Linked DNA regions of Macaca fascicularis. The protein of the gene in region 2 purifies or fractionates together with the protein of the main gene of each other region. This does not show direct contact. Links are inferred from orthologs where the notes say so. Each region holds a gene or a part of one and is shown on either strand. Other genes may lie near its edges. The genes, in order: CHML, RABGGTA and CHM.

The links.
Region 1: the proteins of RABGGTA (region 2) and CHML purify together in Homo sapiens (co-immunoprecipitation; 3 studies listed by BioGRID and IntAct, counting the BioPlex papers as one, with this or other methods). This does not show direct contact. The link is inferred for Macaca fascicularis from reciprocal best matches to the Homo sapiens genes RABGGTA and CHML.
Region 3: the proteins of RABGGTA (region 2) and CHM purify together in Homo sapiens (co-immunoprecipitation; 4 studies listed by BioGRID and IntAct, counting the BioPlex papers as one, with this or other methods). This does not show direct contact. The link is inferred for Macaca fascicularis from reciprocal best matches to the Homo sapiens genes RABGGTA and CHM.

Annotation. Positions count from the first base shown.
Region 1 is NC_088375.1:7,536,708-7,540,957, forward strand, and holds the start of CHML (rab proteins geranylgeranyltransferase component A 2), read left to right. Parts: upstream 1-1,404; 5' UTR 1,405-1,470; coding exon of another isoform or gene 1,471-1,501; coding exon 1,502-3,475; 3' UTR 3,476-4,250. UniProt on the Homo sapiens protein: Substrate-binding subunit (component A) of the Rab geranylgeranyltransferase (GGTase) complex. Binds unprenylated Rab proteins and presents the substrate peptide to the catalytic component B.
Region 2 is NC_088381.1:92,086,065-92,090,417, forward strand, and holds the start of RABGGTA (geranylgeranyl transferase type-2 subunit alpha), read right to left. Parts: upstream 2,842-4,353; 5' UTR 2,787-2,841; exon of another isoform or gene 2,549-2,786; 5' UTR 2,414-2,548; coding exon 2,411-2,413; intron 2,296-2,410; exon of another isoform or gene 2,245-2,295; coding exon 2,134-2,244; intron 1,756-2,133; coding exon 1,577-1,755; intron 1,440-1,576; coding exon 1,252-1,439; intron 993-1,251; coding exon 789-992; intron 452-788; coding exon 368-451; intron 280-367; coding exon 197-279; intron 109-196; coding exon 7-108; intron 1-6. UniProt on the Homo sapiens protein: Catalyzes the transfer of a geranylgeranyl moiety from geranylgeranyl diphosphate to both cysteines of Rab proteins with the C-terminal sequence -XXCC, -XCXC and -CCXX, such as RAB1A, RAB3A, RAB5A and RAB7A.
Region 3 is NC_088395.1:92,472,239-92,475,705, reverse strand, and holds part of CHM (rab proteins geranylgeranyltransferase component A 1), read left to right. Parts: intron 1-2,581; coding exon 2,582-2,756; coding exon of another isoform or gene 2,757-2,773; 3' UTR 2,774-3,467. UniProt on the Homo sapiens protein: Substrate-binding subunit of the Rab geranylgeranyltransferase (GGTase) complex.

The DNA.
Region 1 (4,250 bases), on a different chromosome or scaffold from region 2:
GAATGGCCTGTTTTACCAATATCCAGGATTATTAGTCATCTTGGCCTAGACAGGTCTAGCTTGTACTGATTTATATTTCAGTAGGTTTAACAGTAGCGAAAACCAGAGCTCAAACCAGTGCAGTGATGAATGTTACAAAGTTTAGCAGTAAGGTGTATGTAATACTTTAGCCTAAAGACTTTCCGGTGAGTATGCTCTTCAGTACCTTGGCCGTTCTGCCTCTGGCCACACGTGGCATCACACAGATGTCTTCTGCACATGGAGTGTAACCAGCATTATGCTCAAAGTTAACAGGAGAGCCTTTTTTTTTTCTTTACTTACCCTTCAAAAATAAGAACAAACAACATTAGTCTTGGCAGAGGATGTTTACATAGACCTTTTGCTTGGGATAGAGATTCAGGGTTGCAGAGACAAGCCTTATTTAGACAAGCCTAAATAAGTAGGCATTATTTATGTTAAGATATTTTAATTTGAAACCAGGAGTTTTCCTTTTTTACTTACATACTTTTTTTCCTTTTTTACTTACACTTATATACATGTGTACATTCATATACATATTTTTAATATATAGGTTTTCCTCCTCAGGCCTATTCTGTTATGAGCCTAAATATTTTTAAATGGCCAGTTGTTTTACTGAATTAATCCTTTTATTATAATCTTACTAGTAATTGAGTAGAAATAGTCTCATGTTGCTATCATGAGATCCTAAGGTGGTTGTGGCATGAAAAGGTCTTATATTCAGCTATTCGGGAATCACACACACACTGTAATGGCCACAGAAATATTTTTAATCATGGCAGTATGTACCTAATGTATAATCTGTTTCTATAAACAATGGAGCCATACGTTCCTTTTAGTCTAAGCTCACAGCTGTGTATAGATTTATTCACATGATAGTTTTCTTAAAAGCTAAAGTTAGAGAATTGTATTATGTTATTTCTTCTTTATTTTTGTGGAACATTATGTTCATTCTCTATTACTATGTTGCCTGATTCTTGGGAGGGCTGTTATATCTCTATTGTCCATTTTCAAGAAATTAGAAAATATGTGAGAAAGCATTTAAGACATGCTTTAGTGGAGGTTTATGTCCAAATAAGAAGTCATACTCCAATGGATTGTCATTGTTGCATGAAATTATTTTTCTCTTATATTGTTTACAATGTATTCTTTCTTGAATTTTCTTCTTTCAGAGAAGAGTTCCAGTCACAAATGCATATATGATGCATTTTGACATTTACTGCTAAGATGAAATACAGAAATGAAACCACACATCCATTTTAGTATTCTCAGATGTGATTAGATGTACTTGCTCATGTTTTTATGCTACTGACTTATAAGGAAAAAAATATATTTTAAAAGGGTAACTGTTAAAACAGCTAGGACCTGCAACTTCATTGCTTCTGGGATAAACTGGAACATCAGAAGGACAGATTTTATTACAGCATAATCACACCTCATTTCTTTCATCAGCAACTGTCACCAGACACTTTTACTTCCTAGAATGGCGGACAGTCTTCCCACAGAGTTCGATGTGGTTATAATAGGGACAGGTTTGCCCGAATCCATCCTTGCAGCTGCATGTTCAAGAATTGGTCAGAGAGTTCTGCATATTGATTCAAGAAGTTACTATGGAGGCAACTGGGCTAGTTTCAGCTTTTCAGGATTGCTAACCTGGTTGAAGGAGCATCAGCAAAACAATGACATTGGGGAAGAAAGTACTGTTGAATGGCAGGACCTGATCCATGAAACAGAAGAAGCCATCTCTCTTCGCAAGAAGGATGAAACTATCCAACACACAGAAGCTTTTTGTTATGCCAGTCAGGATATGGAGGACAATGTTGAAGAGGTTGGTGCTCTGCAGAAAAATCCTTCTTCAGGGGTGTCTAGTACCTTCACTGAAGTTCTGGATTCCGCAGGCTTGCCTGAAGACAGCCAGTCATCAAATTTTAATAGCGATGAAATGTCTGCCAAACACACTCAGAAAAGTGATAGAGAGATTTCACTAGAAGTAACTGATGTAGAGGAATCAGTGGAGAAGGAAAAGTATTGTGGAGATAAAACTTGTATGCACACAGTTTCAGATAAAGATGGAAATAAAGATGAAAGCAAATCTACAGTAGAAGATAATGCCAATCAACCAATTAGAAATAGGATTACTTACCTTCAAATAGTTAAAGAAGGGAGGAGGTTTAATATTGATTTGGTATCAAAACTGCTATATTCTCAAGGATTGCTAATTGATCTTTTAATCAAATCAGATGTTAGTCGTTATGTAGAATTCAAAAATGTCACTAGGATTCTTGCATTTCGGGAAGGAAAGGTAGAACAAGTGCCTTGTTCCAGAGCAGATGTCTTCAATAGCAAGGAACTCACCATGGTTGAAAAGAGGATGCTAATGAAATTTCTCACATTTTGTTTAGAGTATGAACAACATCCTGATGAATACCAAGCTTTCAGGCAGTGTTCATTTTCAGAATACTTAAAAACTAAAAAACTAACTCCCAACCTTCAACATTTTGTACTGCACTCAATTGCAATGACATCAGAATCATCTTGCACTACAATAGATGGCCTTAACGCAATTAAAAACTTCCTTCAGTGTCTCGGACGGTTTGGCAACACTCCCTTTTTATTTCCCTTGTATGGCCAAGGAGAAATTCCCCAATGTTTCTGTAGGATGTGTGCAGTTTTTGGTGGAATCTATTGTCTTCGTCATAAAGTACAATGCTTTGTAGTCGACAAAGAATCTGGACGATGTAAAGCAATTATAGATCACTTTGGTCAAAGAATAAATGCTAAATATTTTATTGTGGAAGACAGTTACCTTTCTGAGGAAACATGCTCAAATGTGCAGTATAAGCAGATCTCTAGGGCAGTACTCATTACAGATCAGTCTATACTAAAGACAGATTCAGATCAGCAGACTTCCATTCTGATAGTTCCTCCAGCAGAGCCAGGAGCTTGTGCTGTACGGGTCACTGAATTATGTTCTTCAACCATGACATGCATGAAGGACACCTATCTGGTACATTTGACATGTTCATCTTCTAAAACAGCAAGAGAAGACTTAGAATCAGTGGTGAAGAAATTATTCACTCCATATACTGAAACAGAAATAAACAAGGAAGAACTTACAAAGCCAAGACTCTTGTGGGCTCTTTATTTTAATATGAGAGATTCCTCGGGAATCAGCAGAAGCTCATATAATGGCTTGCCTTCCAATGTTTATGTCTGCTCTGGGCCTGACTGTGGCCTGGGAAATGAGCATGCCGTCAAGCAAGCTGAAACACTTTTCCAGGAGATCTTTCCAACTGAAGAATTCTGCCCTCCACCTCCAAATCCAGAAGACATTATCTTTGATGGCGATGATAAGCAGCCAGAGTCTTCTGGAACCAATAATGTAATAGTGGCCACACTAGAGTCCTCTGAGGAAGGCAAAAACCAAGAAAGCCCAGAGAAGCACCTTCAAAATTAGAAAAGAGCAATCTGGAAATGCTGTTTTGGACCTCCTTCATGGCATCAGAATATTCTCATTTAAAGGACAGTTTCCCATATGAGTAATTAGAAGTGGTTATATATGTTGAATGCTATGCAGATGTTGTCTTTAACTCTCAGACATTCAGCATTGAATATCTTTGTTAACCTATCAATGAGTGATTTATTGATTATTGAACATTTTGTTTAGAATGGGCTACATGACCCATAATCTTAAAACAGAGTTAGCTGTATTTTAGTATTGGGTATGTATGTAAGGGTTCCATATTAACAACTCAGCTTAAAGGTAATGTTGTATTTGCTAATGATCTTCAGATTTTATCTTTGTCTACAGAACAATTAGTAATACCCAAGTAATATTTTAATTACTTTCACAGCTATTATAGTTGCTGCGGCCTGTTCGAATAGTGAAACACACACAAATGGTAAATTATGTGGATCTTTTGCATATAATATAAATGTTTAGACATGGTGGTAGGAATAGCAACTAATACAAATGCCAATATGATAATAAAATTCGTTTGTCTATAATCGTTAAAAGATTAGCTTTGCATGATGCTTTATTCATTGTGAAGGTCTGAAGTTTATAATACCCACTTCACTCTTGTAACTGATGAGGCAATGACGCCACCACAGTGTTCTAATTTACAAAAAGAATTGGAGTTCAATTAGTAGTTGAAAAACTCATTTTGGGGAGGTTGATTGCAAAGAAAATTTGAAGGATAAGATTTATTCTCATTTAATACTTCAGAAAA
Region 2 (4,353 bases):
GGATACCCAGACATGGCTGGGCCGGTTCCTGCCATCTGGGGTCCTCCACTCTACAATCAGGGGAGAATCATCAACCATGAGCAGCAAGATCTCCGTCCTGGAGCCCACCTGGCACAAAGCACAAAGACAGACTTCAGCCCCATCAGCACCAGGCCCACAATCCCACAGTGCTCTTGACAAAAGCTGTAGGACTTACTAGGAGGGGCCGAGAGAAGGAGATGGTCAGACAGGCCTCGTCCCGGCTCACATGCAGGCAGCGCAGTGCATCCTGGGGGTCAGCTGCAGGGAGACACAGTGTCAGATTTCCTTAAACCCTCTCCCATTCCTACTAAGCCCTAAACACCCAGCCCCTTTCCTCAATGCTTACCTCGGCCTAGGAGCCAACGGTGATAAAACCAGGCACTCTGGTCATTGGGGTCAGTGAAGAAGGCATTCTGCACCAACTCCAGCTCTGTAGGTTTCCGGGAGGCATGGTGCTGTGGTCAGGACACTGGTGGGCTCCTGGCCACTCCAACACCCTACCCTCTCCTTGGAGTACTTCCAGCCCCCAGTGTCACTTATATGCTGTCCTTGCACAGGGGCTATGTATGTCAGTTTTATCTTCCCCATCAGACACTTGAGCTCCCTGCAGTCAGGGACTGATTCTTAGGCACCCCTGGAGCCAGGCATGAAGTAGGTGCTCAATAAACCTGAGACAGGTTCAGGAACAGGGTCAGGCATGGGGACTGGAAGGGTGGCACTGCAGAGTCCTCCCTTCTGTAGGAAGGAGGACCCCTCACCCTGCTTACCTTTGAGCAGCACATCCTCAGGGAGGCGCCCCTGTGGTCCAGAATCCGGCTGGGGGTGCAGCTGGGGCAAGAGACAGGAGCGGTAATGCCAGGACGAGTAGTTGGAGAAGTTTCGGGTGATGAGGCTGTCAGTGAAGGCTAGCTCTTCTGCAGGGGGCACGGCTGCCTGTGTGGCCACAAACCGCCGATAGTCCCAGCAGTGAACTGGAGGGGAGAGGTGACAGCATATCTTAGAGGCAAGGCAAGAGGAGCTACCTGGCTGGGACCCCTAGAGTCCCCTCAGAGAACTCCTAGAAACACTTCAGTGCACTCCACGGAGGAGGCATTTGACTCCAACATCCCTTTCAGCACCAGCTCAGTGGACCCATCCTGGATATCCCTCCCCATTCTGGGCCTTACTGAGGCCCCAGTACCAGAATGTGGGCAGGTGAGGGCTGTGGGGACAGAATCTGCAGGCACGTACAGTTCCGCTCATCCACCTCCAGGAAGCGGGCACAGAGCTCCAGCTCTCGGGCCCAGTTGGGTTCAGGCAGGCGGCCTAGCAGCCAGCATCGGTGGTGCCAGGTGCCATAAGACTTGGGGTTCACCCGCAAGCAGCTCTCCAGGAAGCCCAGTTCTGCCTTCACCAGAGCAGCCAACTCTTCAGGAGACCTGTACCCCGAAGGGAAGGGGGGTCAGGGCTCTCCTACACTCAACCTCAGCTCATCCCTCACTTTCTGCACCCAGCCCCCTACTGTCCTCCATCTATGCCACTGGCTGCCCCATTCCTCCTCCACCCCTGGACCCACGCAGTGTAGGCGCAGGGCCAGGGCAGTCTTCTGAGATCCTGAATCCCTACGCACTTCTGAGTCTCCAGCTGCTGCAGCACCTCTCGTCGGCAGTTCCAGAGGGTGGCAAAATCAGGGTTGGCTCCCAGAATCTGACTTGTCAGTTCCAGCACTGACTCATCCAGCTCACCAGCCTGGCGCTGAGAAGATAGGTGGCAGGGTCAGAGATCATATCACTTTCCCACCACAGGACTAAATAACGTAAACTCAAAACCACCCAATATTCTGTGAATCCCACATTATACAACAGATACTATGAACCATGCTTTATGGCCTTACAGGTATTCTCTCATTTAATCTTCACAACGGCCTTATGCAGTAGGTGCAATTATTAGTCCCATTTTACAGATGTGCAAACTGAGGCCCAAAGAGATCCAGCAACTTGTCCAAAGTCATACAGTTATAAGTGAGAGAACCCAGAACTGGATCTAGGCAGTCTGACTTTAGGGACCAGCTCTTGGCCTCCATACTATACTAAGAGAGCTACTTGGGGTCGGGGCTACCTCTGAGGGCCCCACCTTCTGGAAGACGGCCTGGGTGGCTGACTGGTATAGCTTCAGCTTCTGCTCTCGTTCTAGCCTTTTGGCCTCCGCCTGCTCTTCTGACGTCTTCACCTTCAGGCGTCCGTGCTATAAGGATGAACGGGTTGGAAGAGTGCAGGTTGCCTTGCAGGAGCCGACCTGCAAAAGCCCCACACTGTGAAGCCCTAGGTTCATACGGGGCAACCAAGTGCACGACCACTGCGGGTGAGGGCGCGGGCGTGCGGAGATGAAGGGCTGGGCTCAGGGTTCTCACCATGGTGCCGGCTCAGGGTTCAAGACAGGGGAAGGGTCCAGTGGTAGCCCTCGAAGTCTGAGGAGAGAGGTGTCAATCACGTAGCCCCGCCCCCTACTAGCACCGCCCACAGCGGTTTCCCGGAAGCAGCAAGCGTGCCTGGGCAGAGACCCCTAGGGTGTAAAGAGGTCCTGGGACAGGCTTTGCACATTCAGCAAGAGGCGAACACCCGTACTAGAACTTCCATCCGTATGGCCCTTCCTACAGCCCGATTCGCCCGGGCCAGAGCCCGAGCCGGGGCACCTGGGCGTTAGGGACCACTCTGCGCACCAAAGGTTGCCGCTCCCCGCCCGTCCCACGGCTCCCGGGCACCCCCGCCCCCCGCGGGCGGACCCACCTGCGCTGGGAGGAGGCGCGGGGGATGCGGAGCTGCGGCGCCCGCCACAGAGCCCAGGCGCTGGCTAGAGCGGCGCCACGTCCTGGCTCACCGAAACGCAGCGCCCTCTGCAGGCTTGGGGAGGGACTTGCGACGGAGGAGGCCGGCTCGGAGGCGCGTGCGCGGGGGCTATGCGCTCGCTGTCTGGAAACGCCTCGTACCTGTTAGCCACCTAGTGTGTACGAGTGCGCACGCGCGACTGTACCGTGCGTGTGAAATAGTGGGGAGGACCATGCCAGTTGGCAACTCAAAATGTAGTGTAGTTAGTGGAAGAGGTTTCTCCAACAGCCAGAAACCCGCACCTTCACTACTCCACTGACCTCACCCTGGCCACACCGACACCCTTCTATATGTCAAATCTAACAGGTGGAGTTGCCTGTCATTTTCTCTAACCTCTGAAGCATTTGACCCACTTCTTTATACTTGACACCCCCATCCTGGCTTCTCCTCCTGCATCTCTGCCTCTCTCTTCTCATCTGTTCACCTCCACCCCTAAATGTTGGTGATCTCCAAAGGGTCCTTTCCTCACTGCTTTTTCACTTCACACACTGTTCCTGGGAGAATGTTTAAGCGTTCAACTGCTTCGAGTTGGAGCTCCTCAGAGCTGTTTTGGCCCACAAATCTGGCATTACACTTTCCCTGGGTGAGTTCATTCACACTCATTGTTTTAATTACTACCTGTAAATTGATGACACCCAAATTTATATCTCCAACCCAGATGTCTTGCAAGCTTAAATAACAATAAATAATATACATCACATACATATTCAAACACCTATTGGATATCACCTGGTGTCCCAGAGACACCTCAAACTCCAAAAGCCAAAAGGTATAAATTTTCTCTCATCCATCCTCTCTAAACATTGGCCTTTACGTTTTCTATTGTAGTGAGTGGCACTATTTCCTCCTCACTTCTTAAACTCGCTTAAATACTCTATTCCCACTGCCACTAGAAGTTCAAACTCCGAATTTCTTATCCAGATTGTTGAAAGTCTTTTCAATGTTCTCCACCTCATCCCTTGTTATCAGTCCATCCTCTGTGCTGCTGAATCAATTTTTCTAAAATGCAGATTTGATGTCCTATCTCTGCCTGAAAGTGCTGAGTGGCTCTTTTTCAGGATAGAATTGTAATCTCTCAGCTTAGCACATCAGACCTACTGGCATTTGGGCTCTGCCTACTCTCTGGCTGTATGTCCTGCCTGACCCTGCCAAAAACCCTTCATGACAGCCTACAGAAATACTTGAAGTTTCCTAAATGTGTTAGCCTGTTCCCTCTCCTTGACTCTCCTTTCTCTACACTCCTCCTTTGCTGCAGTAAATCCTGTTTAAGATTTAACTTTTTGAACTCCACAGAACAAAGAAAAAAAATTTAACTCAATTGGCACCTCGAGGAAGTTCTCTAAAATGCCCGTCTGATTTGATAGACCTACATATGTACTTTCAAAGACTGTGATTTTTTCCCTGTGCCTACTGTAAGGAAGGTTTTCTGGTGGAACCTTCATGAGGTTCATGGTGGCTAGTGAGGGTT
Region 3 (3,467 bases), on a different chromosome or scaffold from region 2:
AACAAAAGAGGTTTAATTGACTGACAGTTCCTCATAGCTGGGGAGGCCTAAGGAAATGTAAAATCATGGTGGAAGGCAAAGGGGAAGCAAGGCATGTCTTACATGGTGGCAGGAGAGAGAAAGCGAAGAGGGAACTGCCAAACACTTTTAAACCATCAGATCTTGTGAGAAGTCACTATCACGAGAACAGCATGGGGAAAACTGCCCCCATAATCCATTCACCTCCCACCAGTCCCTCCGTAATACTTGTGGATTACAATTGCAAATGAGATTCGGGTGGGGACACAGAGCCAAACCATATCATTCTGCCCCTGACCCTCCCCAAGTCTCATGTCCTTTTCACATTTCAAAACCAATCATCCCTTCCCAACAGCCCTCCAAAGTCTTAAAACTCATTCCAGCATTAACTCAAAAGTCTATGTCCAAAGTCTCATCTGAGACAAGTCAAGTCCCTTCCCCCTATGAACCTGTAAAATCAAAAGCAAGTTAGTTACTTCCAAGATACAATGGAGTATAGGCATTGGGTAAATGTCCCCATTCCAAATGGGAGAAATTGGACAAAACAAGGGGGCCATAGGCCCCATGCAAGTCCAAAACCCGGCCAGGCAGTCATTAAATCTTAAAGCTCCAAAATCTCCTTTGACTCCAAGTCTCACATCCAGGCCATGCTGATACAAGGGCTAGATGCCCACAGCCTTGGGCAGTTCCAACCCTGTGGCTCTGCAGGGCATAGGCACTGTGCCTGCTTTCACAGGCTGGCATTAAGTGCCTGTGACTTTTCCAGGTGCATGGGGCAAGCTGTCAGTGGATCTACCATTCTGGGGTCTAGAGGACAGTGGCCATCTTCTTACAGCTCCACTAAACAGTTCCCTAGTGGTGACTCTTTGTGGGGGCTCCAAGCCCACATTTCCCTTCAGCACTGCCCTAGCAGAAGTTCTCCATGAGGGCTCTACCCCTGCAGCAGACTTCTGCCTGGCCATCTAGGCGTTTCCTAACATCCTCTGAAATCTCTGCAGAGGCTCCCAAACTTCAGCTCTTGTCTTTTGTGCACCCTCAGGCCCAACATCACATGGAAGCTGGCAACACTTGGGGCTTGCACCCTCTGAAGCAACAGCTCAAGCTGTACCTTTATTCCTTTTAGCCATGGCTGGAGCTGGAGCAGCTGGGATGTAGGCTATCATGTTCCAGGGCTGCACAGAGCAGTGGGGCCCACCCAGCCCACAAAACCGTTTTTCCCTCCTAGGGAAGATCTCTGACATGCCCTGGAGACATTTTCCCCATTGTCTTGTCTATTGACATTTAGCTCATCATTGCTTATGCAAATTGCTGTAGCCAGCATGAATTCCTCCCCAGAAAATGGGTTTTTATTTTCTCCCACGTGGTCAGGCTGCAAATTTTCCAAACCTTCATGCTCTGCTTCCCTTTTAAACGTAAGTTCCAATATCAGACCATCTCTTTGTGAACACACATGACTGAGTGCTTTCAGAAGCAGCCCGGTCACCTCTTGAATGCTTTGCTGCTTAGAAATTTCTTCTGCCACATATCCTAAATCATCTTTCTTAACTTCAAAGTTTCACAGATCTCTAGGGTGGGGACAAAATGCCACTAGTCTCTTCGCTAAAGCATAGCAAGAGTCACCTTTGCTCCAGTTCCCAGTAAGTTCCTCATCTCCATCTGAGGCCACCTCAGCCTGGACATCATTGTCCATATCACTATCAGCATTTTGGCCAAAACCATTCAACAAGTCTCTAGAAAGTTCCAAATTTTCCCACATTTACCTTTCTTCTTCTGAGCCCTCCAAACGATTCTAACTTCTGCCTGTTACACAATTCCAAAGTCACTTCCACATTTTCAGGTTATCTTTTAGCAGTACCCCACTCCTGGTACCAATTCTGTGTTAGTGTCTCTTACACTGCCGTAAAGATACTACCTGAGACTAGGTAATTTGTAAACAAAAAAGGTTTAATTAACTCACAAGATCACATGGCTGGGAAGGCCTCAGGAGAGTTATAATCATGTCAGAGGGTGAAGGGGAAGCAAGGCACATCTTACTTGCTGGCAGGAGAAAGAGAAAAGGGGGAACTGCTAAATACTTTTAAACCATCAGATCTTGTGAGAATTCACTATCACAAGAACAACATGGGAACAGTCACCCCCATAATCTAATCGCCCCCTAACATGTGGGGATAATAATTTGAGATGAGATTTGGGGGGGGGACTCAGAACCAAACCATATCAAGTCTCTATGAGATATCATATAAGCAATATTAAGGCAATTGTATTTCTTTCGATATGTAGAATGAATGTGTTTCAGTTCTCAACAATCTGAACACTTGATAATGAACCTGATGAGATACTACCGTCCTTGAAGTGTTGACCTGAATACATGTATAGAATTAAAGGGAGAAGTCACAGAATTCTGAAAACAGACTTATAGAAGTTCATGTATTCTGATAAAGTACTATAACCTGCTTAAGGAAAATTTTAAGGATAACACTTAATTGTTTTTAGTTAATGCCAGAAATGCACACAGATTTTAAACCGATTTCCAAAAATGATTTATCTTTTCTTCCTTGGCCAGGCTGAAACACTTTTCCAGGAAATCTGCCCCAGTGAAGATTTCTGTCCCCCTCCACCAAATCCTGAAGACATTGTCCTTGATGGAGACGGTTTACAGCCAGAGGCTTCAGAATCCAGTGCCATACCAGAGGCTAACTCAGAGACTTTCAAGGAAAGCACAAACCTTGGAAACCTAGAGGAGTCCTCTGAATAATGGATATACACCGAACTGGATACCCAACTTTGGAAATTTCTACTGGTCTCAGAGTCTACTTGATAGAAGGACTGTTTGAAAAATGTTAGAAAGCAACAGCAATTATAAGGCAAAATAGGTAATAGAAATCCAAAAGGGGATTTTCCTTATAGAGGACGTTACAAGAACACACAACACTTACAAAGCACATTGACTTGCTCATTTTGAATACCAAACTTGTGTGACTAGCAGATGAAAATTATAAATCAATTGATTCTCAGGAATGTAACTGTGGATATGAAAGTGATCCTATGCATTGTTAATAATTCCGTGGTCTTAGGACAATTTTGCTTACCACTATGGATCTTTGTTTGAAAGCCACATTTTCAGAACCAGCTCACATATTTTCTTTGGTTATTTGAATTATATTTTCTTTATGGACAAGAGCATCATAACATAATGATAAAAACATATAGAAAAACTAAAGTATCATGATCTAGATAGAAGCCTGTATTTAGAATACAGGTTTGTTTTGTTTTGTTTTGCTTTCTATGTTGAGAAGCATTGAAAATGCTAATACAAAGGTGTTTAGACATTGTTAAGAACAAGTCAGTAGTGTTTTTTAGTATCAGTAGTGATATTTGTTTGTAAATTATTTACATATTGGGAAAGGTCAATAATGAAGAAGTGAAAGAATGGAAGGAAATGTGTGGAT